Linked DNA regions of Pelodiscus sinensis. The protein of the gene in region 2 interacts with the protein of the main gene of each other region in a biochemical or structural test. Links are inferred from orthologs where the notes say so. Each region holds a gene or a part of one and is shown on either strand. Other genes may lie near its edges. The genes, in order: ANAPC4 and CDC27.

Region 1 (16,339 bases), on a different chromosome or scaffold from region 2:
TATTTAATTTGTTCGTCCTGTGCTTTTATTCTCTAGGTAGACTATGATAATCATGCTCTTTATAAACATGGAAGGACAGGCCGTAAACAGTCTCCTGTTCGCATATTCACCAACATTTCCCCCAGCATGATTGTACTTCCTGTGGAAGAGGGTTACAGGTGAGGTGTAAAAGGATATGCTTGCAGTGTGTGTGTGTGTGTGTGTGTGTGTGTGTGTGTGTATATATATATATATATATATATATATATATATATATATATGCGCTCAAGTGACTGCATCCACTATTTTTTTTAAGAAAAACCTAGTTGATTATTCCAGAGCTCAAAATATAGCAAACTAAATTTGCATCCATAATGTAACTTTATTTGTTGAATTGAAAATCCACTCATAAAGTTCTTTGAGCAAACAGCAGGCCAATGCTTTTGTAACTGCTTTTTCAGGTTTTGCTCTGTGTGTCAGCGATATGTTAGTTCAGGGAACCAACATTGTGATATCTGCAATTCATGTACATCAAAAGTAAGTTCCTCTTTCTGGAATGGTATTTTAGCAATTGTAAAGTGATGTTTGTGTTGTTACAAATCTCTTCTGCTATTAATATTAAAAGTGTATCTTTTGTGGCAGAGAGCTCAATATGGGAGTCTTTTGATTGATTTAAACCAGTGTTTCCCAAACTAAAAAAATGCCACGCTAAGGCCCAGTTGCTGAGAGGGGAGCAGAGCAGGGCTGGCTGGGAGGAGGTGTGTGTGTGGAGGGGGGGGGGGCCCAGAACCAGCTGCAGGGAAGCAGGGTTAGGGGTCACGGGGCTGTCCAGCAGAGATCTGGGTGGGCGGCCGAAGCAGGGTTAGGGGTAGCAGGGCTGTCCCATGGAGATCTGGGCAGGTGGGCGGCAAAAGCAGGGTTGGGGGTAGCGGGGCTGTCGGGCGGAGATCTGGGCGGGTGGGCAGGCAGTGGAAGCAGGGTTAGAGGTAGTGGGGCTGTCCGGCAGAGATCAAGGAGGGCGGCGCGGCAGAACCAGGGCTGAACTGGGTGCGGGGGGGGGGCGCTGGCCGGGGGAGATTGGGAGGAGGAGGATTGGAGAACCACCCTCTGGAAGCAGGGCTGGATGGGGGCAGCGGGCTGGGTGGGAGTGGGGCACTGGAAGGGGGAGATGGGGAGGACGGGAGAACCAGCTGCCGGAAGTAGGGCTAGATGGAGGCAGCGGGGCTGGTGGGGGGGTCGTCGGGGGAGCGGGGCTGACTGGGGCAGATCGGTGGGGGGTGGGGGTGAACTGGCCACCAGAAGCAGGGCTGGACAGGGGCAGTAGGGCTGGACTGGGGAGATTGTGGGGGTGGGGAGAGGAGAGGGGGAGCGGGTACATGCCACAGGAGTGAGTCTGGCCCCGTGGATTCCATTTCTCTCCCCCCCCCCCCCCCCTCCCCCCCCCCAAATACCCTCCCTCGAGTAGTTGTAGTTGTGAACTGCCTGGCTGGTAGACACTAACACAGCGTTAGCACATCTACCAGCCAGGCAGTTCGCAGCTACGGACTGATGCACCTAATTATAATAAAACTTACCTAATTATATAAAATGTCCAGTATTTTCTGTCCAGTATTTTCTCAATTTGTTTCCCAGACAGAAGCCTCAAATACCAGACTATGGGGGACAAAACTGGACACCTTGCAACCATATCCTTCCTTGTACCCTCCCTCCTAGCCAAATACCCTACCCCCCAATCTGCTCCTGCAGTGCCCATGCAGTGCCAGGTCCCCCAAGACCTGGCCCAGGCTGGGCAGAGGATGCAGCCAGGTGAAACACTGAAAATTTAGTGTTTCATCTTACATCTTTCAAAATTCCATCTTACAGTCCATTTATCCAATCCATATTCCCTTAACTTGCTGGTAAGAATATTGTGGGTGACTGTATCAAAAGCTTTGCTAACGCTGGCACTGGGAGCTTTAGGAGGACCAGAAACAACTTAGTTGAATATTCATCAGTTGCTTAATTAATATGCAGATGACTGTTACCAGTCCTCCAAAAGCTGGTGAATGGATTTACTGGTCCCTGTGTCAAAAAGTTTGGGAACCCCTGATTTAAACTATGGATCAGTCCCTGTAGAATTTTCTGTGTCCATTACCTCATTGATTTCGGCTGGACAAAGGATACCTGAAGTCTATACATCTGCCCATCAACAGCATGTTGTCATGTTCCATTTTTTTCTCTGCTTGGAAAGGTGGAAAAATATGCTGCCCTTTATGGCACCTCAGTTCTGCTAACAGCTGCCAAAAGAAATCATGGATCCTGAGCATCTGTGTATGCTACTTGTGCACATACATATTCCATATATTTGAAATATTTCAATGTTGTATGCCAGGAAGTTGAGGAGCACAGTACAGTTTAAAAATGATACTGCATATAGTGAAAATATTTTATTAGTAACATTTTAAAATATTTGTTTAAAATTACCAACTTTTTTATAGGATGGAAGACGATGGAATCATTGCTTTCTTTGCAAAAAATGCGTAAAGCCTTGTAAGTACAGAACAATATTTTTCAAGTAATAGAAGTTGACTTACTATATATTTCTGTCCAAAAAAGTCAAAATAAAAAATAGAAATAAAAGTAATAAACTATAAGACATTCATGATTCAGTGCAAAAGTACCCAGTTTCCACAAAATTCAGCTTGTGTGGATGGATTTCACCTGCATGAAAATGTCTTTGTTGCTGAATCAAGGCACAGTTAATTCCTTCAATTAGTTATAGAAAAACTTAAAATAGTTTGATTCTTGCTTCTTGTAGAATCATGATTAAATCTTTATAAGATTTCTCAGCTGAATTCTCTAAACATATTGATGCATCTTTTCAAAATCATAAGTTCCCATTACTTACTTTTCAGCTTGGATTCACTGCAACACTTGCAATCGCTGTGCTCTGCCAGGTCACACTTGTGACAGAGCTAAAACTAGTTGCTTTATTTGTGATGAAGCAGGTCACAAACGCAGCACCTGCCCTAATCTCTCTGTGGCTGAAAGAGCTTGCCAGTAAGTATAACACTGCATATGAATATTTATTTGAAAAACCTCTCAGTTGTGGGATATGATTATTATTTCATGAGAATGATTTGATAGAAGTAGAGAGAAAGTTGTTCAGTAAATTCAGATTGTGATAATCAATAAGTTGAAGTTTTTATTTGAGCTAAGGGTGCAATTTCCAGCTCAAGGAGACACATTTGTGCTAACTTTTATTGAATTAGTACACTAAAACTGTGTCCATTGGAGATGTTAGGCAAGTATTTGGGACAGTTAGCTGCATTCTGCACTAGCTTGATCAGAGTTAGCGTATGCCTCCAAGCTGGGCATCGCATCTCCAGTTCAAAGTGTGGACACGACCTTCGAAGAAACAGGAGCTCCTTGACTTGTGCAGGATCTGGGAGCTCAGCACCCTCCTCCACTCCGATAGAGGCTGTTGCCTCTGTATCAGAGGCAGCAGCACGGGGGACCTGATTTTTAAACTTTCTCCCTTCATGGACCAGCTCCTGCCTGGAGTGGCAAAGGGCTCCCCAGGAATGGGGCCAGAGCATACTGGCTGCTGGCGCCACCCCCAGGGACTACAGAATAGTCAAGTAACTGAAAAGAATTCATGAGGTTAATCGACTATTCAGTTAACCAATATTTAACATCCCTAATGTGGAACACACTAATAAAAACAATTTTAAATAGGTGTCTGGTAGTTTGTGGGAGTGTTTTGAAAAAGGTCTTTTTGAAAAAGATCTGCACACTGAGCATATTTCAGACACATGCCCCTCTCCAAGATAGTACATTAATATGCCCATCATTGTCCATCATTGAAGGGTCTCTCAGACCGGACGACTTTCTGAATCTGAAAACGTAAAGGTAACTATTGAAAGAGAAGGGGAAAGATTTGAGTTTGTCAACAGAATTAACTAACCCAAGGTAGAACGAACACTAAATATCAATAATAAAAGATACAGCTATGAGGATATTGTTTCAGCTCTCTGTCATGGGTGTTAAGGAGGAACTGAGCAGCAGTTGGATCTATGCTGCTTTTATGCTCTTGAGCTATGTCTAGACTACTAGCCTCTTTTGAAAGAGGCTTTCGAAAAAGCCTCTTTTGAAAGAGTGTCTAGATTGCAACCACTTCTTTAGAAAAAGCGAGTTGCTTTTTTGTAAGAGAGCACCCAGGCAGTCTGGATGCTTTCTTTCGAAAAAGACCTGTTAGCATTCAAGAACACCTTTTTTCAAAAGAGCACTTAAGAAAAAAGGCGTTCTTCCTCATAAGATGAGGTTTACCACGGTCGAAAAAATGCCACGTTCTTTTGATTTTTAATTTAGAAAGAACGTAGCACCAGTCTAGATGCAGGGGAAGTTTTTTTTTTTTTTTTTTTTTTAAAAAGGCCACTCTTTTCAAAAAAAATAAAAAATCCTGTAGTCTAGACACACTCTTGGGTGAGGGATTCTAACTGTCCGGTGGTCATCAGTATACAGAATGAGATTTTTGTGTACATGGGAGTTCATATTCCTCTAGATACGCATTTTCCACATGGATGCCACTTCAAGAACCACAATTACTATGAGGTTTTTTGAAGCTAAATTCATTCATTTTTGTCTGAAGCAGAAGAATCAGGATGACCAAAATAACGTACTCTAGTTGAGTAAGGCATGTGTATCTCTTGGCATATGAGAGTGTGTTTTAAGCATTCTTTTTCATAGATGAGATGGCAGAAATTGTGGTTCTGTGGCCTCTGTGATAGAGCCAAAAACTATACTCGCATTTGTGTCCATAACACATTGCAAGCTCATATTTGATTTGCTCTTACAGGTTGCACCTCTGTAAACCGGGACTCTGTGGTCTGGCAACCACAGATGTTCCAGGATCAGGGAGTCCTAATGTGCTTTGGTGGGGGAGAAGCCTGGCATGTGGCCCGGCTGGGCTCTGCCTGGGGGAGCTGGGAAGCCCCGTGGGGTGGCAAGGCATAGGGTCGACAGCAAGGGAGCCAGAAATGGCCTCCCCTGGTCCTGCAAAATCCTTCATCTGGGACTAGTCAGGTCCCGAGAGTGCTGGACCAAGGATGTCCAACCTGTATCGCTGCTAGGCATAGCCCACCATTTCTGTTTTCCAAAAATTTTAATTGTGGAGTAATACATAGCCAAAATGTAGAGAGAGCTTTATTCATATTTATCCCTACCATATTTCTCAAAGTAGTAAAATCTGCATGAAAATGACTGACCTTACTTTTACATGAAACTTTGTTTGCTTCCAGTTTTGGTGAGATCAAATATATATATCTTTCTGGACTATTGTAGTTCATGCAGACCGTAGTTTACTACTGTATTGTCAATATGTTTCTCCTGATATAAATTATTGGATTAACATGGGCTTAAACACCTGCAAATGTATGTTGTGGTTAGTACAAGACTCTATAGTTATTAATTGATAACCTATTACATAGATAGCATTACCATAACAGATGGAAAAAAATACTTGTTAATTATTTAGGTTTTAAATCCTGTGTTCCATACAGATTCTTATGTTTGTACAATTTCTTCAATAGTAAATTGGGCAGTGCAATTGTTGAACATGTAATGTCAACAATCACCATGTTTTATATTTGAGGTGATCAGATGTATACTTTTAAAAGTTTTAAAAGCATTTGAGTCTAAAATTACAATACTGAGTAAAGATACATCTATAGGTGTAAAATAAATTTAACCCCATGTCAATGTTGAAGTAAAAGTAGATTGTAATATCTCTGCAGAGATAATATTACAATCTTGCAAGTCGAATTTCAAAGGGTATGTCTACACTACCCTCCTAGTTCGAACTAGGAGGGTAATGTATGCATACTGCACTTGCTAATGAAGCCCGGGATTTGAATTTCCCGGGCTTCATTAGCATAAGCGGGGAGCCGCCATTTTTAAATCCCCGCTGCTTCGAACCCCGTGCAGCGCGGCTACACGGGGCTCGAACTAGGTAGTTTGGACTAGGGTGCCTATTCCGAACTACCGGTACACCTCGTTTCACGAGGAGTAACGGTAGTTCGGCATAGGACCCTAGTCCGAACTACCTAGTTCGAGCCCCGTGTAGCCGCGCTACATGGGGTTCGAAGCAGCGGGGATTTAAAAATGGCGGCTCCCCGCTTATGCTAATGAAGCCCGGGAAATTCAAATCCCAGGCTTCATTAGCAAGTGCGGTATGCCTACATTACCCCGCTAGTTCGAACTAGCGGGGTAGTGTAGACATACCCAAAGAAATTTACTTTAAGAGCTGTTGTTCTGACTATATTTGAGATTTTAGTCATAGACAAGTCCTTGTATTTGTGTTTACTACAATGTACAATTCACTATAGCTCTGATAACATGTAATATGTTTGTCTATTCCCTTGTTTTCCAGAGCTGACAGAAAGCGGAGGCTAAAGAAGAACAAGATAAAAATGGATAATGTTAAAAGACCATCTGTGAAGCATGCTACGTTCCCACGGAAAAAAATAAAGAAAAAGAAAAACACTCTTGCTTGTTAATACTCAAGTTACCTAAAACTGTGAATGATTTTACAGCCAATTTTTGCTTCCATTTGCTGTAAATGTTAATATGATATTTTAGATAAAGCCGGTTTGAATTAAAAATGTCTGCTTCTTGTAATATTACCTCAGAACTTTGGCAGTAGGAGAAAACTGCTATCCAAGCTGCTCTTTCCATTTGTGAATATGTTCAAGTGTGATATCTAAAACAGCTTATATACTAGTCTAAACCATGACTGCACTAAAAGACAAAATGGAATAATATTGTACAGGACTTGTAAATTATTGGGACAAGGTTTTTAATAGCTTTTAATTAACTTGATATTGACCTGCATTTTTCTCCTTGATATTGACCTGCATTTCCACCTGGCTCTTTTGCTTTCCAAACACCATCTACCATGCCCATGTAATGGATGGCAAGTCAGCCTTTTGTTCTTTATCTACTGGTATGTTGGTTGTTTCGTGGCAGTAATGGAAACCCGTGTATTATTTCTTCTAGATAACTAGATACATGTAGTTTTTAAACTTTTATCCACAGTTGAGACATTATACAATGCAGAGACAACAAAAATGCAGAGGCTGTTCCCCTCCAACTATCCAGTATTTTTAGCATATCAGTGGTAAACTGGACAGTTTATAGATTTAAGGTCAGAAGGGACCATTGCAATCATTTTGTTTGACCTCACTATTACTGGCCATCCAACTTCTCCAAAATAATTCCTAGACAAGTGCCCCTTGTTATGTGTCAAGTATGGGATTTTTTTAATAATTAAACTTAACTGTATAATTTCATTTACTAGTGAGGAGCAGTCTGCAGTTCAAAGAAACGCATATAAATTATTTTTGATGCTGCGGTAAACATGAATATAGAAAATTCAAAGGAAATGAGCAATGCAATGGAATTAAACTTTCTATAACTATATTGGTTCCATTCAAGTAATTGTTCTCTACCTAGTAGGGATATTAGATACACCAAATATTATCAGCTACACGGTTATTCAGTAGTCCCCGGCAGTGGCGCCAAGAGCCAGTGTGCTCCTAGACCCACTTCCGGGGAGACCCCTGTCACCCTTCAATGCTGCATCTGGTGGCAGGCAGGAGCCAGTCCACAAGGACAGCCAATTAAAAACCAGCTTCTGCTTGCCACCCTGTGCTGCTGCCTCTGATAGTGACAGCAGCAGCCCCTGTCCATGGGGGCCCCAAGTTCCCTGTGGACAGAGGCTGCGCCGGCATTCCACAGAGCAGCCTCTGTCTGCAGTGAGTTTAGGTCTGCCATGGACAGAGGCTGCTCCACAGCAGCATGCTCTGCCCACGGTGAGCCTGGGTCCACCACTCCTCTGCGCTGCTGCCTTTGGGGGCAGGTGGACCAGCTCCTCCCTGAGTGCCGCCTCCCCCCCTGCTCCCTCACAGAGGCAGGAGGAAAGGGGGACAGGCAGCACCACAGAGCTCACTTAAAAGCCAGCTTCCCATGTGCAGTGGTTCCCACCTTCTCCCCTACCCCACACACCCTATGCTGTGCCTCTCTATCAGAGGCAGCAGTGCAGGGAGGAGGCCAGCTGCTCCATGGGATCCAGTGCCCATAGGGAGATGGCTTAAAAACCAGCTCTTGTGTCCCCACACCTTTGCTGCCTCTGTCTCAGAGACAGTGGGGGGGAATGTGTGTAGTTGATAGAATTAACTGACAAACCTAGGCTTATTCGTTAATTGTGTAGACGATAGAGATGTAAGCAAGTAGTCAGCTACTCACTTTTCCCACCCCCCCGCAAGGTGGGAAAGGTTCGAGCTTTAATTCGAGCTACCTAGTCTGTGCCGCATGTACCCGTGGGCAGGTAGTTCAAACTATGGGGCATTTAAACATGGCGGCACCCAGGAATGTGCAAATGAAGCCTGGGATATTTAAATCCCGGGCTTCATTTGCAAGTTTGAATGCCTCCATTAGCCACCCTAGTTTGAACTAGGGTGGCAGTGTAGACATACCCTAAGCGAGCACCTGCGGTCACACTCTGATGCATTTGAGCAATATTTCCCAAATTCAAAAGATCTGAGGGTTGGGAAAGAATGGATCCATAGTCCATTTCTTCCTGCCAACAAGGTGTCATCCTTGCCATTGCTGCAAAAGGATCAATTAGTTGATTGAGCTGGCATGTGACAGAGGACTTAAAAGTTTAATTAATTCATCTTCATCTTCCATCCTTCTGGATTAAAACAAAGGATAAATACCCAGAACTCAGCACCCTAGCCCTCAAGGCTTTGCTGCCATTTCCATCTTCATACTTCTGTGAAACACATTTCTCTGGAATGACTGCTACCGAGACCAGACATTGGAATAGGCTTGACGTGAGAAACACACTGGCTGTGTCTAGATGGGCAAGTCTTTCTGCAAAATCATCTGCTTTTGCGGAAAAACGTGTCAGCTGTCTACACGGGCGGCTTGAATTTCCCTGTCAAGTATAAGGCCTCAATTTGGCTAGTGCTCCCAGACTCCTCACCACCCTTCCTCCCCTCCCCCACTGCTGCCCCAGGCTATTGCCTCCAGGCCCTCTACCTTCCACCTCCCTGCAGGCAGGGTAGCCTCAGTCTTCCAAGCTGGTCCGGCAACTATGCAGCTGCAGACTTTCTGGACCTGGAGCTCCAAAAGACCCATAAGCATGCATGGGCTTCACTGTCAGAGCTGACTCCCAGCTACCTTTCCCTTTCCCCCTTAAAGGTACAGAGGGATTTTCGAACAACTACCCAGGCACCTCAACTCACCCTCATTAGTAACCGCCCCTCGCCGCGCCCGGGAAGGCTGGGGCCGGTGTACCGGGACCCCGAGGGGCAGCGCTGTGGAGCTGCAGCATCTCCCTGCTGCACGCGTTGGGCCGCAGAGGGAATTCCGCGGGGCAGTCCCTTGTGTTTCCCGCCACACGTGAGCTGCGGGGCGCGGCGGCGGCGCAGTGACGAGGCGGGGGCCGCCCCGGAAGGCGGGAGAGCCGGGCGGAGCCGCTTCTCGCGGGGCTGTCGCTGTGCTGCGTGCGGCTGGACGGGCTGTGGGCTCCGGGCGCGGAGCGGGCAGCGGGATGGGGCGCGACGTGGGAAGGGCTTAAGGGGGACGGGGAGGTGAGGGAAGGAGCCCGGCCCGAGCCTGCCGGTGCAGGAGCCCCCCGCCATGCCCGCTTTCCGGCAGGTCGGGGAGAAGCAGCTTCCCCAGGAAATCATCTTCATGGCCTGGTCTCCCAAGAGGGACCTCATCGCCCTTGCCAACAAAGTGGGGGAGGTAAGACGGGGCCGGGGTAACGGGGCAGCTGCAGGGCCCGGCTCAGCGAGCTGGAAACGGCGTGTAAGAAAGGCACCTCCTCCGACAGCGCTGCTGCGCTCCGCCGCTGGGGGAGCGGGGTTCCCTGGCTGACCGCCCCTCTTCGCCCGCAGCCCTGCTGCCTGCTCCCTCCTCCAGTAGTGCCTCAGGGTTCGCCAGAGGCGGCTTCGCTCTCCCTGCCCCTGCAGCAGCGCTCTCCCTGCGGCTCCCGGGGAAAGAACTCCGGCCAGCTGGGCAGTGCTGTGGGGAGGCTAGCACTGGGGGAGGCTAGCACTGGGCTCTCTCCACCCTCCCTTGTCATTATTGACAGCCAAACGGGCCTCCTTATTCTACACGCCATCTTCAGCCACAGGAATAGTGCACCATAGCATGTGTGAGGGTTTTTTAAGCCTTCACATGAGAATGACTTAGTATCTTGGGTTTACCGTGTTGGCATTCCCAGTGCTGTACAGCTAAGTTAGCCGAGAATTCTGTTCTTTCATGCTGTCTGCATCTGTGCAGGAAAGACCTTGGTTTGTTGTAGCTGCTTAGTGTGTTGCAAAGGCAGAATTTAGTGGGATAGTGCTGTGAAGAATCTGGCACTGTGCTAGAACATGCTGTATTTTAAACAGTGAGCAGACCTGTGTCACCCTAAAGACTAGCAAATATATCATGAGCTTTTGTGGGTAGATCCCACTTCAGATGAGTTGGAGTGGAAATGACAGAATCCAGAGTATATAAACAGGAAAAGCAGTGTTAATAACGGTAATTGAGTCAGGCTGGATCTGTCCCATTCATAGTCAGTATTCTGTCTATTCCTCAAGATCCATAAATCTGGAAATCCTGGATGTTTCATCATCTCATGCAATAGCACCCTTAAACAGGATAATCTGGCTACATTGACTCTTTCCTCACGCTGCATGCTACCAGCACTCCTATCTATCTTTGAGACACCACTGACTTCCTGAAGAAACTACAGAACATCGGTAATCTTCCTGAAAACACTATCCTGGCCACTATGGGTGTAGAAACTCTTTATATTGGTATTCCATACGAGAACAGACTACAAACTGTCAGGAACACTCTGATGATGCCACAATACACCTGGTGGCTGAGCTATGTGACTTTGTCCTCACCCACAACTGTTTCTGATTTGGGAACAGTTTATACCTTCAAGTCAGTGGCACTGCTGTGGGTACTCGCATGGCCTACAATATGCCAGCATTTTCATGACTGCCTAGAACAATGTTTCCTCAGCTCCCATCCCTTGCCACCTGTCCTCTGTTTATATTACACTGATAACATTTTCATCATATGGACCTTTGGGAAGGAGACCTTTGACGAATTCCACAGGGATTTCAATAATTTCCACCCCACTATCAACTTCAGCCTGGACCAGCCTACACAAGAGATCCACTTTCTTTACACTACAATACAAATAAATGATGTTCACATAAACACCACCCTATACTGGAAACCTACTGACTGCTATTCTTACCTACATTCTTCTAGCTTCCATCCAGGACACATCACACAATCTGTTATCTGCAGCCAAGCCCTAAGGGTACATCTAGACTACATGCCTCTGGCGACAGAGGCATGTAGATTAGGGTACCGGACATAGTAAAATGAAGCGGCGATTTAAATAATCGCCGCTTCATTTTACTATGTCCGGTACCCTAATCTACATGCCTCTGTCGCCAGAGGCATGTAGTCTAGACGTACCCTTAGATACAATCAGATCTGCTCCAATCCCACAGACAAACACCTACAAGATATTTATGAAGCATTTTGAAAATTTAAATACCCACCTTGAGAAGTGAGGAAACGTTGATAGAGCCAGACTAGTACCCGGAAGCCACCTTCTTCAAGACAGGCCCAACAAAGAAAATAACACCACCACTGGACATCATCTATATCCCCTAGCTTAGCACGCCCCAGCATTTCATTGATAATCTTTAATCTGTACTGGAAAATGACCCCTCACAGATCTTGGGAGGTAGGCTGATCCTTACCTGGGGGTGATATAGGTGATAAGACAGTCCCCCTCCCAACCTTAAGTAAATACCAACCGCCATACTCCTCATCACAGATACACTCACCTAGGAACCTACACCTGCAACAAACCCCGTTGCCACCTTTGTGCACATAGGGATACAAGTGACACCATCGCAGGACCTAACCACGTAAGCCACAACATCAGGGGCTCATACAATTGCACATCGTCTAATATAATATATGACATCAAGTGCCATCAATGCCTCTTTGCCATGTATATTGGCCAAAGCAGACAGTCTCTGCCACAACAGATTAATGGACATAAATCCGGGAATGGTAGCACACATAATCCTGTAGGGGAACATATTAACCTCCCTGGACATAAAAGCTCATGATATATTGGTTAGTCTAAGGTGACACAGGACTGTTCATTGTTTTGAAAGTTACAGACTAACACAGATACTTTGCTGCTGTATCTGAGTATCGTTTTCAGTCTTTGATGACTTTGGGGAGCATCCTATTTTCCTAAAGTGCTTTAAAAATTGTTTGCTTTTAATTGTCAGTATTGATTTTCTTCCTGTGTTGTGTTCTCGCACAATTCTGATATTCTTCAGATGTGTTCTGGAAAAGGGAGATTGTTTAAATGTTTAGCCTGTCACCACAAGATTCTGTATTCATCTTGACATTTTTCATGTTCAGATCATTGGGAGGAAAGAGCAAAAAAGCAATAATTGCTGCTGGAGATGGAGTGGGGATATTGTCTCTGTTTTTACTATAAATGTAGTCCTTTGTCCACAATATAATGGTTTTTATATATTGGGCTAAAATACTTTTGTGATAGGAGACATTTTTCCTTACCTTGTCCTTTTTATTTTGCTTAGCAATCTAAGTAAATGGTAATTCCCAGGAGATAGCCTGCTTTTTGTGACTTAACAAGTGTGTAAAATTAATTTATATTTAAAATAATTTTAAAACCAATAAAAGCATTGAAAACTGGTTAGTGATGCAGAAGCTGGAACAACATAATGTAGATCTCAGTTTGTTTCTTGAAGTAATGTAATTCAGAGCTTCTCTTGCCAGTTTGCCATATGCCTTTCCTCATCTTATGGCAGTGCTATCTGCAGATGACTGGTGGGAGGGAGTGTGTGTTCCATCAGAGAAGGGTTTTTTTAATATCTCTGCTCATGCACACGCTCTCTTGCTTTCTCTCTTTTTGTCTGTTTCTGTTTTTCTTAATTCCCTTTCCTTCTCTACAACGTGTTCTTTTTTGTTAAAAAGCTCTTTACGTATCATTGGACCTCTGCGAGGAGGGGAGGAAGATCCACACACTAAGTCTAAGATTTCCCCACTTCCATTTGAAATTACTTAGGTGACCTACAAATGAAAAAAGATTGAAAATCACTGCTTTACACTTCAGTTTCCTCTTGAAGAGCCTTGACTGTGCATGGGAAGATCAACGGCAATGCTTCCACAATACAGATACTATTTGTGGTGGGAAAGCCTCCCTAAATACCATATTATAATTATTATTCCTATTAGTCAGACTGATTGTAGACTTCTCTCTCAGCCTAAAACCTCTTTTCATTGCTTGTAGTAGACAGTGTGCCCAAGAATAATGTATGCGTAAAATGATTGTTTTCTTTATATGAATAGCTTTAGAACTGACTTTCCAAATATGGGTTTTAAGCCTAATAAAAGCATCTTTAGTGGCTGATTTATAAAATATTGTTATAGGGGAAGATGTTAAATTTTCCTACATGTAATCTATCTGCTTTTCAGGTTTTACTTCACCGACTTGCAAACTTTCAACGAGTTTGGAGTTTGCCACCAAATGAAAATACAGGGAAAGAAGTTACAGCCCTCGCTTGGAGACCAGATGGCAAAAGTAATATTAAATACATGATGCTTTTTGCTGCAATAAAAATGGTGTTGGAAACCAATAGATACTTTTAGTAAACACAACATTACCTAACTTGAAAAGAAAATTCCCACTACACAATGTTAAGAAAAGGGTAGCGTAATTTTATTTAGCAAATAAAATAAGTGGGAAAGTTATTCCTCTGATGAATGATGTGATCTATAAAGGATGGCTACTTTTATAGTGACACTGAAGTGACAGGTGACATTTAAAATAAGATTGCAATTATGGGAATATTATTTTTCAGATTGCATGACAATATTCAACTCTTAATAGTGCAGAGATGTTTCATATCAATCATCCATGTGCATATGAGCAGAATCTCTTATTATATTACACATTGGGAATGAATTAGTTCAAAAAATGAATGTACGGTAGTCATATAAGTTCTGATCCAAATGTTTCAGTACTTGAATCAAATAGGGATGTGTTCTTGTGAGAATCTTAGAATTATATTATGTTGCAATAAAATATATTTGTTAAATAAACACTGTGTTTCAAATATATTTTGGCACCAAATTTTCTAAGACTTGTGTTCATGGTTAGCATATTTTTTCTCCCATGAGTAACAGTAAGCTAAGTATGGATCTAGGTTAAATATCATAGAATCATAGATCATAGAATACTAGGACTGGAAGGGACCTCGAGAGGTCATCGAGTCCAGTCCCCTGCCCTCATGGCAGGACCAAATACCCATTGCCCATTGCTTCTTGTTCTGTCCTCAGAGGCCAAGATGAACAAGTTTTCTCCCACCTCCTTATGACACCCTTTTAGATACTTGAAAATTGTTATCATGTCCCCCCTCAATCTTCTCTTTTCTAGACTAAACAAACCCAATTCTTTCAGCCTTCCTTCATAGGTCATGTTCTCTAGACCTTTAATCGTTCTTGTTGCTCTTCTGTGGACTCTCTCCAATTTCTCCACATCTTTCTTGAAATGCAGTGCCCAGAACTGGACACAATACTCCAACTGAGGCCTAACTAGCACAGAGTAGAGCAGAAGAACGACTTCTCGTGTCTTGCTTACAATATACCGGTTAATGCATCCCAGAATCATGTTTGCTTTCTTTGCAACAGCATCACACTGCTGACTCATATTCAGCTTGTGGTCCACTATAACCCCTAGTTATATACAGATCCCTTTCTGCTGTACTCCTTCCTAGAAAGTCGCTTTCCATTCTGTATGTGTGAAACTGATTGTTCCTTCCTAAGTGGAGCACTTTGCATTTGTCTTTATTAAACGTCATCCTGTTTACCTCAGACCATTTCTCCAATTTGTCCAGATCATTTTGAATTATGACCCTATCCTCCAGAGCAGTTGCAACCCTTCTCAGCTTGGTATCATCTGCAAACTTAATAAGTGTACTTTCTATGCCAATATCTAAATCATTGATGAAGATATTGAACAGAGCCGGTCCCAAAACAGACCCCTGCAGATCCCCACTTGTTATACCTTTACACCAGGATTGTGAACCATTAATAACTACTCTCTGAGTATGGTTATCCAGCCTGTTATGCACCCACCTTATAGTAGCTCCATCTAAGTTGTATTTGCCTAGTTTATTGATAAGAATATCATGTGAGACCGTATCAAACGCCTTACTAAGTCTAGGTATACCACATCCACTGCTTCTCCCTTATCCACAAGACTTGTTATCCTATCAAAGAAAGCTAGCAGATTGGTTTGACATGATTTGTTCTTTACAGATCCATGCTGGATGTTCCCTGTCACCATGCTACCTTCCAAGTGTTTACCGATGATTTCCTTAATTACTTGCTCCATTATCTTCCCTGGCACAGAAGTTAAATTAACTGGTCTGTAGTTTCATGGGTTGTTCTTATTTCCCTTTTTATAAATGGGCACTATATTTGCCCCTTTTCAGTCTTCTGGAATCTCTCCTGTCTCCCATGATTTTCCAAAGATGATAGCTAGAGGCTCAGATACCTCCTCTATCAGATCCTTGAGTATTCTAGAATGCATTTCATCAGGCATCTAACTTTTCTAGGTGATTTTTAACTTGTTCTTTTTTTATTTTATCTTTTAAACCTACCCCCTTCCCACTAGCATTCACTATGTTAGGCGTTCCTTCAGACTTCTCGGTGAAGACCGAAACAAAGAAGTCATTAAGCATCTCTGCTATTTCCAAGTTTCCTGTTACTGTTTCTCCCTCCTCACTGACCAGTGGGCCTACCCTGTCCTTGGTCTTCCTCTTGCTTCTAATGTATTTATAAAAAGTCTTCTTGTTTCCCTTTATTCCCTTTATTCCTTGTTTGCCTATATTCATTCTTTGTAATTTGTCCTACTTTCCATTTTTTATAGGACTCCTTTTTTATTTTAGATCATGCAAGATCTCGTGGTTAAGCCAAGGCGGTCTTTTGCCGTATTTTCTATCTTTCCGACACAGCGGAATAGCTTGCTTTTGGGCCCTTAATAATGTCCCTTTGAAAAACTGCCAACTCTCCTCAGCTGTTTTTCCCCTCAGTCTTGATTCCCATGGGACCTTACCTATCAGTTCTCTGAGCTTACCAAAATCCGCCTTCCTGAAATCCATTGTCTCTATTTTGCTGTTCTCCCTTCTACACTTCCTTAGAATTATGAACTCTGTGATTTCATGATCACTTTCACCCAAGCTGC
Region 2 (16,545 bases):
TGTTGGCAAATAGGAGTCTGAGGGGATGGGGGAGTGCGGCTTCCCACACTGCCTGTTCTTCAAACAGGCAGCTCCCATTGGCCAGAAGTCAGCCAATGGGATTGTGATGGGGGCAGGAGCAGTGCATGAAGCACCACTCCCCCGGCTCACAGCTCAGAAAGAAAAGTGGCTGCTCCAGCCGTTTCTCTAAGTGGTATGGGGAGAGGCATGGAGCAAGCAGGAAGTCTGCCTGAGGCTCCCTGTTGCGTCTGCGGACCGGATCCGGTGGCTTGGTAGGCCAGATCCAGTCCCTGGCTTGTATTTCACCCAGGCCTGACTTAGATGATGTATTTACTGTGCCAGAGACTGCAAGTTCCTCTAGTTGTCCTCTCAAAAGGTAGGCCAAGACCACATTACAGCACTTTGTTGGCATAGCTACATCAATCAGGGTGACATTGGTGACACTGGATAGGTAGGGCCAAGGCTAATGTGACAAATCATTTTCAGTCTCAGGAGCGTCACTGCTGGTTCTTGCTCACAAGCTCAGGATCATCATGTGTGGGATCAGGATGTAATTTTCTCTCTAAGCTCACACTAGTCAAACCTGGGTTTTTTTGGCCTTCCTCTGCAGAGTACTGGTGCAGGTCACTAGTCAGGATTATCTAGACTGTTCTTACATAATCATTTCCCTGCCATTGCAGGGGCCTCACACACTTATGCACCTTCTTTGCCTGTGGCACATAAATTGAGTCTCCTTTGGGCTGTCATTCTTTGATCTAATTTCAGTTGTTGGGTTTAGTGTATGAGTAATGGGAGACGTTGGTGACCTGTGTTGTATGGATGGTCAGACTAGATCAGGGGTAAGGCAATAATTTTTGACGGGGTGGGCCACTCCAAGTTTTTGGTAAGTGGTCAAGAGTCACACGTTTCTATGGAAGGAGTTATAACCTAGGGAGGGTGCACTGGGTTTGGGTGGTAACCTGGGCCAGGGGTGCAGCAAGGTGTGGAGTGTCAGATGCAGGCTCTGGCTGAAAGGTGCTTACTTAGGTGGCTCCCAGACAGCAGCCCTCGATTAGTTGATGGGGGGAGGGACGATCGCTATCACGGCTGCAGCTCTGCAGTACTACATTTAAAGTGCAGAGCCGCAACGGGGTTGGCTCCCAGGGGCAGTGCAAGGTGGGACTGCTGCGGCGATGCCTCCCTTCCTCAGCCCCTGCAGCACAGACACGGAGCTGGGTGGAATTGGCATTTAAGCAAGTTCCCCCCAGCGCCAGCTACTGCTTCCCCCCACCTTGCTGCCTCTGATACAAAAGCAGCCAGGGGAGGAGAGAAGTGAATAGTCACTCAACTAGTTGTTTACATTCCTAGGACTCCCCCATCAAAAATTATTGCCCACCCCTGTTCTACAGACTAGGACAAGAGAGGAAAAGAACCACCATGCTGTAACAGCTTTTACAAAACCAATTTAACCTGCCTTTAGCCTCAATAAGAGTGGGCAATTAATTTTGCCGATATTTCACCTTTCAGAAACAAAGCAAGGAAATTATAACGGTCAGTGAACACATGAAGGCAGTTGTTACCAAGACAAATGCAACAATTCAGCATGCCCGAACTGCAGCAGTGCCTATGACAAAACCATTCTGGTGCTTCCTCCTGCAATATACCTGACAACTGTAGTTGTAAGTGCATTCTGGGAGATACAAAGACAACCAATCCTCAGGGTCCAGAACTGTTGCTGCAAGCTCCTGCTTTTGGATATTTACCCAACAAAAGCTACTCCATTGGATTTAGAACTGGCTGAACTACTACACTGTGATTTCTCATCTGCAGTGAGAAGCTTTTTTAGGTGGCACCTGTTTATCCAGAGCAGAGGTAGAGATCTCACCACCACCACTTAAATGCTTCAGACAGCCGACCTGTACGGACACAGGGCATTATACAGTAGCTGCAGATTCAGAGTGTTCCAACCAATAGTTTACTTTAACACTTTCCCACTGAGTAGACAAAGCCCAAGAGCTGGTTCCCATTCTTTTCTTACCAACAAATGAAATCTCTGTTGTGCAACAGGTAATGTCAAAAGCACTGCACTTTTCAACAAGAAGGGTCTGTCCACATTACTAATTCCATGACCAGTATAGACAAGAATTTTTTCCCTTTTAAGAAAGATCATTACAGACTGATTTTCAGGCTGGGGTTAGTCTAAAATGAAATGACAATTCTGGTTTCATAGCATGGTTTTGGAGAGCAAGGAAAAAGCCTGACTGGTCCGGGAACCTTAGCTAACAATAATTGTTCATGGCTGTGTCTATTGTGTTATCAGACACCATATGAATACGGCCTTGGAAACCATCCATCATTAGTAGGGCCCTAACAAATTCATAGCCCTGCAAAATGCATCATGGACCATGAAATTTGGTCTCTCCCCTCTGAAAGTTGTTTCTCGAATTGGAGGTCCTGACTCAAAAGAGAATTGCAGGAGGGGTTGTAAGGTTATTTTAGGGAGGATGCAGTACCACCACCCTTACTTTTACACTGTCTTCAGAGCTGGGAGGCTGGAAAGTTGTGACTGCTGACCAAGGACCCAGCTCTGATGGCAACAGTGCAGAAGTAAGGGTAACAGTACCACAGCCCACCCCTACAGTAGCCCTCCCCAACTCCTGTTTGGGTCAACACCCCTACAATTACAGCACTGTGAAGTTTCAGATTTAAATATTCAAAATAATGAAATTTCTGATTTTTAAAAGCCCATAACTGTGAAATTGACCAGACTGAATTTTAAGGCCTTAATCATTAGACCTGATCATGGCAGTCAATACCAGCTATTCAAATATGACGAAAACACAAGGTATTGAAACATCCAAGGAAATAGTTAAGAGCTGTATTAGTGAAACTAAAGATTTTCAGAGATGAAAATTAAAATGCATCTGTTCTAGGTAGGAATATTTGAGTGTAAACGACTAACTGTTCAACCAATAAGTGAATGCTTATTGGTTAACAGTGTTGGTTACAGTCAGTGAAGCCTCCTCCCCCGGGAGCCGGATGAGCAAGGGCAGTGGGTTCTGCTCCCAGGGAGGAGGCTTCACTGCCGCAGAGCCCGCAGTGTGGGCAACAGGGTAACCACTGAGATTTTCAGCGGTTACACAATTACCCTATTACTAGGGATGTTGAAATGTGTGTATTCAGGTAAATGTGCTGAAACTTTCAGCAGTTGCATGTTTACATGCTGAGTGGAAGGCGGCTCCTGGGAAGCTGACTGGAACCCCTGCAGCGCAGGGGGACGGGAAACTGTGTGCAACCGTGAAGGTTAACCCATAAGCCCAGGTTCACGTGTTAACAGTTTATACCAGTTTTTTCCTCAACCAGTGGTATGAGAGTCCCTTTAGGGATACTTGAAAGATGTCTGGGGGGTACGTCAACACAACTGAAATTTACAGCTTTATAATTTTTGAACTTTTTACACCCAAAAATTTCATTGCCCGCCCGGCTACGATTAAATTGTTTAAACAAATGTGTTGCAATGGTAGGAAAAAAAATGCGTGTCTGAAAACTGTAGGTACTGGGAGTACTTTTTTTTTTGGAAAAGGGGTACTTATTAAAAAAGGTTGAGAAACACTGGTTTACACTACCACATCCCTACCTCTTACACTATTTTTAACATCCCTAGTTATAGGCTAACACATGAAATATATATCTTAATAATCAGCAGCTCTCAAACAGTGGGTCAGGAGCCCAAAAGTGGGTTGCAAACCCATTTTAATAGGGTCACCAGGACAAGCATTAGACTTGCTGGATCTGGGGGTGCTGAGGCTCAGGCTATGGCCCATCATCAAACCCAAGCCTGAGCCCTGCTGCCTTTCTCCTTCCTCATTCTGTCCCCCTCTCCAGCCCCACCTCCCGGGTTATTTTAATAACTTTGTTGTCAGAAGGGGGTTGCAATGCAGTGAAGCTTGAGAAACCTGGATTAATTCATCTTTCAAGTTTGGACTTCATTAGGAGATATCAAAGGATACATTGTCTAATTAGGACAAGATTCTGCCACTTTTTACTCACTGCAAGCAGAGGTGTCAAGATCTAGTCCTTAAAATGGAAGCTTTTCAAGGCAAGCATTTGTCATCTTAGACGCTTTTAAAATGCTATTTATATAAATGAAACCACTACAATGCTCCTCAGGATTGTAAAAGTAAGTTTTCCAAATGCTTTTGCAAGGTGGTGAAGGGATAGATGATGAGGTGAGTGAAAGATCTCTTGAATGACCATCAGTATGTGCTATACAAAGGTACATGGGAAAAAATGCGTTTTTACACATACGCACATCACTTATAATGTTGATGAGTCAGAAGTGATGCCTGCTCTTACAGAACATGTGCAAGGAGAATGCTCAGATAACAGGGGAACGAAAAAGTACCAGGAGTCCAGCCAAGCACTGAACACATAACCCAACAACTTCATTTAAATCCATACAGCAAGACAGCCTGAATGTCATAGGCTTATTACATTAGTGTCAGAATGCATCATAATCCTGTGGTTTTACTGCATTTGTTACAACTGCCAGAATCACTGCACCACTGCTGTTTACTTTTAAGTGACTGCAGATGACCAAGGTAGATTTCTATGAGGTCATCAAAGGAGAAGAGAGAAACTAGGCCTAAACAAAGGCTTCATTGAAAATGGCACATTTAGGATCTGCAATTCTCACCACTGCAACCCAGCTAATGAAAGCAATGGCGGAGGCTGTAACTTACACAGAACTCATGTTTTTGCCACCTTGTCATATAAGCTTGTCACTTAAGCTGTGCCTACAATACAACCACTATTACTGCTGCCCCACTGGGGTTGAGATAGAAGCATATCATGAGTCCTACAAAAGTAGACCTAATGATTGTGCATTGAAGTCACACTAACATTAGCTTCTTTGGAGAGCAAAATAAGAGAGAGCTGGTATTTCATGAAGAACACCGAAGCCAGCTAGGGTCTTGGTCTACACTTGGGCTCCCTGTACTGGGAGCTCGTTTACACTGGCGCTTTACAGCGCTGCAATTTGCTGTGCTGGGAGGGAGAGAGTGGTATTTTCACACCCCTGAGAGAGAAAGCAACAGCACAGTAATTTGCTAGTGTAGACAAGCCGTAGGTTTGTGTGATAATGAAAGCAGAGTGTTATCAACAGAACTTCCAAGCTAGAGAAGATAACATTACAAGTGTCCATTTTACACATCAAACAACATACCTCAAATAAAATACTCCATATCTTTGCCAAGGAAATTTCAGAATATCAAATATTTCCCACCTGGTTAGCCATAATCAGGACAGCAGAAAAGATGCTGATTGCATGTATTTGTAAAAATGTTAGTGAATGAAAGCAAACAATATCTATGTAAGCGGGCATTTACTTTCTTTCCATACTGAAGCCTACACTAGCCACTTTTTGCTAGAATTTCCAACTGCTGCTACCACCTGCCCAGCTCGAGATGCTAACTTGAGAGAGTATTACTGGAGAAAGGGCATCAGATGGCCAGAAGTGTTTTCAGCAATGCGTTGTCTAATGTGGTTCAGAGCAGACCTATAGAATTTGGCATAAAGATGATGAACTCATCTACAATAATAGTGCCACCACTGCTTCCACCTTGTTGTGTAGGCTAAATCAGTGGGGTAGATGATGTATCCCACAAAAAGCTACATCCTTCTATCTTTTTAGAGAGAAGAGGAAACAAGAGAAATTAGATACTTTTGTTGTGCTCACTATTGTCATTATGAAAAACTGTCCAGCATGCTAAGCATCTTGGCCGTGTAGAAGCTGGGAGAGTTTACAAGTTACCAAGAAAAAATTTATTTTGCATGCAAGACCTTTGAAGCCCTATGTCCCAATTTATTTCTAAAGACAGAAACCTGAAAAAGATTGGAAGTCTGGTGGAGGGGAAAGGAGAGGAGATAGCATGGGAAAATTGAAGTGGGAGGGAACATAGATAGGATAGCTAAGGCAAAGTTGATATAGGAAAGAGAGAACGGATAACTTCTGAGATGGTATCACTTCTGAAAAGAGACTAAAATAAAAAGGGAAAATATCCTGGAAAAAAAATTAGACTTTAAAAAAGGGGGAGAAAAAAAGAACCTAAAGTTATTTCCTCCTTTGGGTCTTTCAGGCGAGACTTGGTCTCTTTTAGACCAAGTCTACACCAGACCTGGAAGGCCAGGTTAAGGTACGCAACTCCAGCTATGTAAAATATGTCACTGGAGTCTGCTTACCTTAAGCTGAGCTCTGCTCTTGTTGGCCTCCCTCTGTGAAGACCGGTGCCAACGCTCTCATCGGCTTCCCTTCTCCACAACAGCCAGGAGTACAAGTGCCACATGGAGCCACCCTCGGCATTCGATTTACGGCGTCTTACCTACACCCACTAAATCTAACACCAGAAGATCAATATCCAGCAGCAAGTGAAGACCTGGCCTTAGACTGCATGCTCCTTGGGACAATGAATGCCCTTCACTTGTGTGTAATCCACAGTGACAAGCACATTGTGGGTATTTAAATACAAAAACAGCAGCCATGGAGGGTGAATGAAACCAGAAAGGAGAAATCGAGGGGTTCCATAAGGAGTTGGGCTGGAACAGTGGAGATGGGAAGAATCCCTCTTGGACGTGCACTAGCCACTATTATGCTGGCTAGTATCAACTCATTGTTTCCTCATGCCCCCCTCCCTGCCCCCTCGTCCCACCTGCTCTCGTGCCCCCCTCCCTGCCCCCTCGTCCCACCTGCCCTCGTGCCCCCTCCCTGCCCCCTCGTCCCACCTGCCCTCGTACCCCCCTCCCTACCGCCTCGTCCCACCTGTCCTCGTGCCCCCCTCCCTGCCCCCTCGTCCCACCTGTCCTCGTGCCCCCCTCCCTGCCCCCTCGTCCCACCTGTCCTCGTGCCCCCTCCCTGCCCCCTCGTCCCACCTGCCCTCGTGCCCCCTCCCTGCCCCCTCGTCCCACCTGCCCCCGTGCCCCCTCCCTGCCCCCTCGTCCCACCTGTCCTCGTGCCCCCCTCCCTGCCCCCTCTTCCCACCTGTCCTCGTGCCCCCTCCCTGCCCCCTCGTCCCACCTATCCTCGTGCCCCCTCGTCCCCCCTGCCCTCGTGCCCCCTCCCTGCCCCCTCGTCCCACCTGCCCTCGTGCCCCCCTCCCTGCCCCCTCGTCCCACCTGCCCTCGTGCCCCCTCCCTGCCCCCTCGTCCCACCTGTCCTCGTGCCCCCCTCCCTGCCCCCTCGTCCCACCTGTCCTCGTGCCCCCTCCCTGCCCCCTCGTCCCCCCTGCCCTCGTGCCCCCTCCCTGCCCCCTCGTCCCCCCTGCCCTCGTGCCCCCTCCCTGCCCCCTCGTCCCCCCTGCCCCCTCCCTGCCCCCTCGTCCCACCTGCCCTCGTGCCCCCTCCCTGCCCCCTCGTCCCACCTGCCCCCTCCCTGCCCCCTCGTCCCACCTGCCCTCGTGCCCCCTCCCTGCCCCCTCGTCCCACCTGCCCTCGTGCCCCCCTCCCTGCCCCCTCGTCCCACCTGCCCTCGTGCCCCCTCCCTGCCCCCTCGTCCCACCTGCCCTCGTGCCCCCCTCCCTGCCCCCTCGTCCCCCCTGCCCCCTCCCTGCCCCCTCGTCCCACCTGCCCTCGTGCCCCCTCCCTGCCCCCTCGTCCCCCCTGCCCTCGTGCCCCCCTCGTGCCCCCCTCCCTGCCCCCTCGTCCCACCTGCCCTCGTGCCCCCCTCCCTGCCCCCTCGTGCCCCCCTCCCTGTCTCCATCGGCTGTCTTACGAGCTAGGCACATGAGGCTCTGCCGCTGGGGCGGGGATCGTGTCCAGCCCCTCGCCCAAGCGAGAGGTCCCGATCGGCCCCCAGGGCTGTGGCAGGACGGAGCGCAGGGATACCAGGGCCGAGGTGGGGGGAGGGAGACCAGCCAGTGGCGGGCCCCTCTGGGAGATTCGAGGGGAGCCTGGCCGGGGGGGGGGGGGGTCTGGAGGAGGCGGGCCGGCAGGGGGAGGGGCTGCCGGGTCAGTGCGGTGCGGGCCGTGCGGGGCCTGGTCCCCGCTCCAGGGGCGGGGCCTCGGGGCCCCACGTCTGAGGCGGGCGCTGAGGGGCCCCTGCGGCCGGGCGGGCGGGGGGGGCCCCGCCAGGCCGGGCTGGCTCGGGAGAGGCCGGGCCCGCTAGGCCGGGGCCTCGGGGCGGCTGCGGCTCGGTACCTGCACGGGCTCCTGCAGCACCGTCATCCTGTCCCCTCAGCGCCCGCGGCGGGGCGAGTCCTGGCGGCGGCGCGGCGCGGCCCGGCCCCTGCTCATTTAAACTCGCAGCGACCGTTACCGGGGCAGGCACCCGGGAGGGAAGGAAGGAGGCCGGCCAGGCGCCGACTGCCTCCGAGCGGGGACGGGAACACCCGAGGGGAGCCGGAAATAGCCGAGCGGGGGCGGAAACAGCCGAGGGGAGCCGGAAATAGCCGAGCGGGGGCGGAAACAGCCGAGGGCGGAGCGCGCCACAGGCGCGGGGAGGGAGAGCGCCGAACGGAGACGGAAACACCCGAGCAGCGCCCGAGAGGCCCGAGCTGACGGAGAGAGCCGAGCGCTCCCCGCGCCAGGAGCTGGGCTGGGCGGCGCAGGCAGGCGGAGCGCGGGGGGCGTGGTCTGCCCAGCCCTGCCTGTCTGCGTCTCCCAGGCTCCGCCCCGTCAAATCCCGCATCGCCCCCTTCCCCATCCCCTCCTCTTCCCTCCTCCTCCCGCTCCCTCCCCTTCTTCTTCCCCTTCCCTTCATCTTCCTCCTGCAACTTCCCCTCCCCTTCCCTCCTCCTCTCTCTTCCCCCTTCCCCTTCCTCCTCTTCTTCTTCCCCTTCCCCTTCCCTTTATCTTCCTCTTCCCCTCCTCCTCTCTTCATCTTCCTCCTTCCCCTTCCTCCTACCTTCTTCTTCCCCTTCATCTTCCTCCTCCCCCTCCTCCTCTCTTCATCTTCCTCCTGCAACTTCCCCTCCCCTTCCCTCCTCCTCTCTCTTACCCCTTCCTCTTCCCCTTCCTCCTCTTCATCTTCCTCCTTCCCCTCCTCCTATCTTCTTCTTCCCCTTCCCCTTCCCCACTCTCCCCTTATCTTCCTCCTCTCCCTCCTCCTCTCTTCATCTTCCTCCTGCAACTTCCCCTCCCCTTCCCTCCTCCTCTCTCTTCCCCTTCCCCTTCCTCCTGTTCATCTTCCTCCTTCCTCCTTCCACCTTCTTCTTCCCCTTCCCCCTCTTCCCCTTCCCTTTATCTTCCTCCTCCCCCTTCCTCCTCTCTTCATCTTCCTCCTGCACCTTCCTCTCTCTCTTCCCCTAACCCTTCCCTCCTCCTCTCTCTTCCCCTTCCCCCTCCCCCCTCATCTTTCTCCTTCCCTTCCTCCCCTTCCCTCTTCATCTTCCTCCTCCTCTTCCCTCCTCCCTCCTTCCCTTCTCTCTTCCTTCCTCCTCTCTCTTCCTCTTCCCCCTTCCCCTTCCTCCTCTTCATCTTCCTCCTTCCCCTCCTCCTACCTTCTTCTTCCCCTGCCCCTCTCTCCCCCTTCCCTTTATCTTCCTCCTCCCCCTTCCTCCTCTCTTCCTCACCCTCTTCATCTTCCTCCTGCACCTTCCCCTCTCTCTTCCTCTCCCCTTCCGCCTTCCTCCCCTTCCGTCTTCATCTGCCTCCTCCTCTTCCCATCCCTCTCTCTTCCTCTGTCTTCCCCTTCCCTCCTCTTCAGCTTCCTTCTCCCCCTCATCTTCCTCCTTCCCTTCCTCCTTCTTCCCCTTCCCTCTTCATCTTCCTCCTCATCTTCCTCCTTCCCCTCCCCTCTCTCTTCCCTTTCCTTCTTCTCCCCTTTTCTTCCCCTTCCCATTTTTCTCCTCCCCCTTCATCTTCCTCCTCTTCCCCCTTCCTCCTCCCGCTCCCTTCCCTTCTGTCTTCCTCTTCCCTCCTCCTCACCTTCCTCCTCTCTTCCTCGCCCTCCCCTTCATCTTCCTCCTCCCCTTACCTTCTCTCTTCCTCGCCTTCCCTTTCACTCTTCTCTTCCCCTTCCCTCCTCCTCTCTTCCTCCTCTTCTTCTTCCCTTTCACTCTCCCAGTCCCCTCCTCCTCTTCTTCCTCTTTCCTCCTCCTTCTTCTCTATTTCATTCTTCTTCCCCTCCTTCTCTATTCCTTCTTTTTTCCCTACTCACCTTACCTTGCCCTTTTCTTTCTCTCCTTTCCCCTCTTTTCCTTTCCTCCCCTCCTCTTCCTCTCCAATCCCTGCTCTCCTTCTCCCTTGTCTCTCTCTTTCCCCTTGTATGCAGCCCCACTCCAGTCCACCCTTTTTCTAAGGACTATTGGCAGCCGAGTGACCCTTTTCCGTGCAGCAGCAGTGTCCTCTGGTGGCCACTGAAAGCTCCTCCATAACTGACTCCTAAAGTCTGAAAATGTCTCATGTCCCTGGCGCTGCCCTCCAACTGGCAGGCCCCAGGGCTGCAACCCTCACTCCCCCAGCAGCACAGGGACAGCCCAGCAGAGAGAGGAGTTTTTGCAATTAGTGCAAACTTGTCTTCGCAGGGAAATCGCAATGGGCGCCATTTCAGATTTTGGTGGGGGAGTGGCGACCTGTGCATGCCGTGATGGAGGGTAATGAGAGCATGGGGAGGAAAACTGAGGACAGCGGCTTTCAGCAGTGTTACTGAGCATGCTCGGTACAAACCAAGTACCAAATGGGGGAGGAACCAATTCCTTCCACCCTCCCCACCATATCATCTCTGTCCCAGGGCTACTAAGGCACTGGAAAACTCTGCTTTTTTGGCTGACAACTTAGCAGTTAGCAGGAGCACTGAATCTAATTTCAATATACAAGAAAATTAAATAAATATTAGACCCACTCAGCTCTAACATATTCTGACATCTTATGGCACGTCACTTAAGGGACACTATTTAGCCTTAAAATGTTAATGTCTATTCTTACTTAGTTACTAAATCCGGGGATAGAGAAACCCTGTCAGAACTTGTGGGCTGTCTCTCAGCTCTGGAAGGGAAGTGGAATCTAGTGGGTTACAAAAGGGGGAGATAAATTTCAGCTCGATATAAGAGGATCAGAATGGTCATACTGGGTAGGACCAAAGGTCTTTCTAGCCCAGTGTCCTGTCTACCAACATTGGCCAATGTCAGGTATGTCAAGAGGAATAAATAGAAGAGGCAATCATGAGCCATTCCCTGTCGCCCATTCCTAGCTTCTGGCAAACAGAAACTAGGGATATCATCCCTGCTCAGTCTGGCTAGTAGCCATTGATGGACCTATCCGCCTTGAACTTATTTCGTTCTTATTGGAACCCTGTTATAGTTTTACATCGGCTGCCCATAGATTTAATTGGGTCATCTTCTTGTGTTATGTTAGTGCAGAAATGAATAACAGATCCTTATTCTATTTTTCTATAGCTTTCATAGTTTTCAAGACCTCCAACATATCCCCCTACGCTTTAATCATTTCTTTTCCAAGATGAAAAATCGCAGTCTTGTTAATCTCTGTTCCTTACCCCTAATCATTTCTGTTGCCCTTTCTGTACCTTTTCCAAATCCAATATATCTTTTTTTTAGAGGGGGTGACCAGATCTGCATTCAAGATGTGGGCATACAATGATTTTATACACAGGCAATATGATATTTTGTCTTCTTATCTATTCCTTTTCCTAACGATTCCCAATATTTGGTTAGCTTTTTAGTTTTCAAACTGCCACTGCACACTGAGCAGATGTTTTCAAGGATGCCAAGATCTCTTTCTTGAGTGGTAACAGCTATTTTAGACCCCATCATTTTTATATGTATGGTTAGAATTATATTTTCTTATGTGCATTAATTTGCACTTATCAACACTGAATTCCATCTGCCTTTGTGTTGCCCAATCACCCAGTTTTGTGAGATCCCTTTGTAACTCTTCGCAGTCAGTTGTGAAGTAGTCATTGTTTACCCCTTTTTCTCATTTATGAGAAGTTTAACAGCAGTAATCTAAATGCAGATCCCAGCAGTCCACACTTCCTTCCCCCCAGCTTTTAAGTGGAGTACCTGGCAATGTTTTCATGGTGATCTAATGATCCTTCAATTACCCAAATAACCAGCCGTTTAACAAAACTCTGGTTATCTGAAGAAGTGGGCCATGCCCATGAAAGCTCATGATACCATCTACATGTTTTGTTTGTCTATAATGTGCTACCAGACTATTTGTTGTTTTTTAAGTTTATCCTGTACAGACTAGGCTACCCCCTGAAGCTATCCTAGTAGAGCTGTTCTGGAATTATTCCCAGTGTGGACCAGATTAGAGTCACCTTAATCTGGACTAATTTCCCTATGTAGACAAACCCTTAGGAAGAGGTGGGGAGGACTGTCAATGCTGAAGTGCTAAAAAATTGTTTCTTGCATGTCAGGAATGACTCTTTAGGTAGCATTTCAGCGGCAGATTCTTTTTCTGTTGCCCACAAAGAGCACTGCATTAAAAGAGTATTATTAAGGCTGCAGATGCAAGTGCTCAGCAATGAGAAAACACCAGGGCACTGTTCACAGGTTCAGCTTGGATTTTCTCTCTCCAATAACTGGTCGGCTACATCTACACTGGCATGATATTCTGAAAATGCTTTTAACGGAAAAGCTTTTAACGGAAAAGCACTTTTTGCGGAAAAGCGTCCGTGGCCAATCTAGGCACGATTTTCCGTAAAAAAGCCCCAATCGCCATTTTCGCGATCGGGGCTTTTTTGTGGAAAACAGTACTGTGCTGTTTACACTGGCCCTCTTGTGCAAATGATTTGCGCAAGAGGGCTTTTGCCCGAATGGGAGCAGCACAGTATTTCCGCAAGAACACTGACGATCTTACATGAGACGTCAGTGTAGACAGCTGACAAGTTTTTCCGCAAAAACAGATGATTTTGCGGAAAAACTTGCCAGTCTAGACACAGCTGTCTTGTTTAGCTTTACCTGTTCCCTTAGCCTATTGCCTAAATATTAATAGTGAATACAACAGAACACATTTCGTTTTCTGGGGGCAAACACTGTCAATCTGACGAAATCAAATGCTGATATTGATTTTACATTTGCAATAATGCCAAACTCAAAACTCAAGAGACAGTCTTAAAAACAATGAGATTTTAAGGTTATTTTTGTCTTTTAGTGATGAATAGGAATGTAAAAGAACAGTTAAATATGTAACTGTGTAACTGCTAAACATCCTAGCACCTACACATGCTGTGGGGTCTGAAGTATAAAGTTTATACTGCTGAGCCTGCAGCACAACTGGCTTCACAGGAGAGGGGCCAGCAGCCATGAACCGATGTTGCTATTAGTATTAGCCAGTTTCCAGTATGCACTAGCTCTGGCTGCCGGTCCAATTTACAGGGTATTGGCGATCTCCCCACACAGCGAGCTCTGATTCAGAGCAGGGTTGGAAGCTGGCATGTTACCGTAAAGATAAGCTGACACTTAAGCTACATTTACACTGTGAGTTTTTGTGGCAGAAAATATGCTAATGAAGAACTCATTAGCATAAGTTGCAATATCATTAGCATATTTTCTGCTGTTTCTTTTTGTGCAAGGGGTTTTTGTGCAAAAAGAAGCAGTGCAGCCGCTTCTGTTTTGCGCAAAACCTCCTTATGCCTCTCCTGAAGAGGCATAAGGAGCTTGCAGAACAAGGGGTTTTTGCACAAATAGGAAACGTCCACACTGCTTGTTTTTGCACAAAACCGGCCTGAATAGATTATGCAAATGAAGCATGACAAAATGCTAATCAGCACTTCATTTGAATACTCTCTGCTGGTAAAAGCCACAGTGTAGACATAGCCTAAGAGTACGTCTACACAGCAGTGTTATTACAGAATAACATCCATTATTCCAAAATAGTGTTTTGCGCGTCTACACAGCAAGCCTGTTATTTCAAAATAAATTCAAAATAACAGGCTTCTTACACCAACTTCTGTAAACCTCATCGTGTGAGAAGTCAGAGGAAGAGTGCTCTATTTTGAAATAAGTGCTGTGTAGACATGTCCAAATTCGAAATAAGCTATCTCGACTTCAGCTACGCGATTTGCATAGCTCAAGATGCATTGCTTTTTTCGAGTTTAGCCCTGCTGTGTAGATGTACCCTTAGATCCCTAGTGCTGAAGCATTTAGCGGTCTCATTTTCAAGCTTTTCTTTGCAATCCTGAAGGCTAGAAACTTCCCAAAGAAAGCTCAGCTTCTCGGACAGCACTCTGATTCTGGAAACTGGGACATGAAGAGTAATACCAAATACCAGGGAACTCATAATAAACATCACAAAAGTTGTCTCGGTGGGGAATCATCCTGCAAAATTCTGGGAGCTTCAACCCCCACTGAAATTCCTTTGGGGGAGGGGGTGGCAGGAATGGAGGGGAAAGGGGAATTACTCTGCAGTGCATTGGTAGGGGGCAATGGAATGGCAGTGCGGGAGAGAAAGTGTGAAATGCTGATGCTGGGAGGAGAGGTGGGGAAGAGAATTAAATGTAGAAGCCTGGTTTTGTCCCCTTTTCTCCCTCTCCCCCTTCATCTGTCTGAATTTCTCTTTCTTGCGTGTCTCTCACTGCAGCTGGAAGCAGTTTATGCAAACTCATTTACATCTATGTGACTCTGCAGATTTGCAATCATTTCACTAAGGGCTTGCGCTGAGCATCCTGACTGGTAAACAGGAGGGGATGGTCTCTTTGGTCCTTAGGCTCTCTGCTGCAACTGCCATGAAGATACTCATATTATGGTGGCATTTTTACTGGCAGGTGGAAAGAGACTCCTCAACTCCTTTCCTCTGGGCCCCCAAACAACTGGGCATTGCTTCCAACTGTGTGGTACACAGATACACAGACCCAAGAAGCCTTTTTCCTCTGCTGCTACATCTGAGAGAAGGGCGGGATGTGGGTCTAAAGGCGCGAGATGTAGGTTAATTTCTCCAGCTTCATCTCACAGTCTTATGCCCAAACCAAGCGCGAGTGACTCCTCAGAATGACAGCTGGCTCCATCTGCCTCTTCCACTCCACAGGGAATGGGGTTGAGTCTCCCAGCATCCAAACCATCTTTGGTATGAAATGCTTTCTTATCTTCGTCAGAAAGAGATACTGCCACAGGCTCTCCTTAGAGTGGAAACCTATTTTTACCTCTCCTCAGAGCCCCCAGGACATGAGCAAAGCAGCCGAGCTATAAAAGGGCACAGCATCAACTATTGTCCTGGGACTCGCTTCGGATCGAGTGATGATTTATATAGCCTCCTCCGCTCCAGCTGCAAAGTGCAATTCTGCATGAGGAGCGCTGGCTGATGTTGACGGATGCTTTCTATAAATGCTCCTGGCCTTACGACCACCCACCCTCTGGGAGCCTCCACATCATTAGTTGTGGGGACAGGTGGTGGAATGGGCGGCCGGGACCTGGGACTGGGGGCAGCTGTACAAACATTTGGCAACTGACATTTTCACTTTAGTTTCACATTGCAGTGCTCTTTTGTCCTTCAGGACTTTCCCAAAGACTAACCAGGTGAAGTTTACAGCAGATGCCCCTTGATCCCCTAAATCAACAGTAGTAAGGTATCACGGGATAAGTGGGAAGTCTCTCATGGATTGATAACTAGTTAAAAGACATGAAAAAAGGGTAGAAATAAATGATCCGATTTCAGAATGGAGAGGGGTAACTAGTGGTATCCCACAAGGGTCTATACTGGGACCAATTCCATTCAACTTATTTATAAATTATCTGGTGAAAGGGATAAAGAGTGAGATGGCAAATTTTGCAGATGATACAAAAAGGCTGAAAACTGTTAAGTCCAAATCAGCCTGTGAAGAGCTTCGAAAGGATCTCACAAAATGAGGTAACTAGTCCACAAAATGGCTGATGAATTTTAATGTTGATAAATGCAAAGTAATGGATTTTGGAAAACACAATTCCAACTACATGTGTAAAATAAAGGGGACTAAATTAGCTGTTACTACTGAAGAGAGAAATCTTGGAGTCATTGTGGATAGCGCTCTGAAAAAAAACACTCAATGTGCAGCAGCAGTCAAAAAAGCACACAGAATGTTAGGAATCATTAGAAAGGGATAGAGAGTAATATCTCAGGCTACGTCTACATGCGGTGCTATTATAGCTATCCCGTATCTTAACAGCGTGCCCGTTATTTCGAAATATAATGGGCTCGCTATTCCAATGTCCCTGTAAACCTCCTTCCACGAGGAGTAAGGGACATTTCGGAATAGTGGATTATTTTGAAATCTGATGCTGTGTAGACAGCACCAAATTACAAAATAAGCTATTTTGAAATTAACTTGAAATAAGCGATGCAATTTGCATAGCTCAAATTGCGTAGCTTATTTTGAACTAGAGGTACAGTGTAGACACACCCTTATTGCCTCTATATCAGTGTTTCTCAAAGTGGTCTGTGAAACCACTTTGAGAAAGCTGCTAACTGGCCGTTCTGGTGTGTTTATTTACCGGAGCCGCAGCCACGGAGCTTCACGGATTCCATTGGTTCTGGGTTGCTGTTTGCAGCCAAGGGGAGCTGTGGAAAGCTGTCGAATAAGGAATGGATTAGAGCAAATTGCCATCTTCTCCTGGCTATTTTGTGACCAGAAGTGAAATT

Evidence for each region.
Region 1: the proteins of CDC27 (region 2) and ANAPC4 form a complex in vitro, tested with the Homo sapiens proteins (2 studies listed by BioGRID). The link is inferred for Pelodiscus sinensis from reciprocal best matches to the Homo sapiens genes CDC27 and ANAPC4.

Annotation. Positions count from the first base shown.
Region 1 is NC_134715.1:101,831,441-101,847,779, reverse strand, and holds the start of ANAPC4 (anaphase-promoting complex subunit 4), read left to right. Parts: upstream 1-9,520; 5' UTR 9,521-9,663; coding exon 9,664-9,771; intron 9,772-13,566; coding exon 13,567-13,672; intron 13,673-16,339. Other genes in the region: rRNA N(6)-adenosine-methyltransferase ZCCHC4, read left to right, coding at 37-158, 441-516, 2,457-2,508, 2,874-3,018, 6,389-6,515. UniProt on the Homo sapiens protein: Component of the anaphase promoting complex/cyclosome (APC/C), a cell cycle-regulated E3 ubiquitin ligase that controls progression through mitosis and the G1 phase of the cell cycle.
Region 2 is NC_134739.1:6,830,825-6,847,369, reverse strand, and holds the start of CDC27 (cell division cycle protein 27 homolog), read right to left. Parts: upstream 8,355-16,545; 5' UTR 8,197-8,354; coding exon 8,170-8,196; intron 1-8,169. UniProt on the Homo sapiens protein: Component of the anaphase promoting complex/cyclosome (APC/C), a cell cycle-regulated E3 ubiquitin ligase that controls progression through mitosis and the G1 phase of the cell cycle.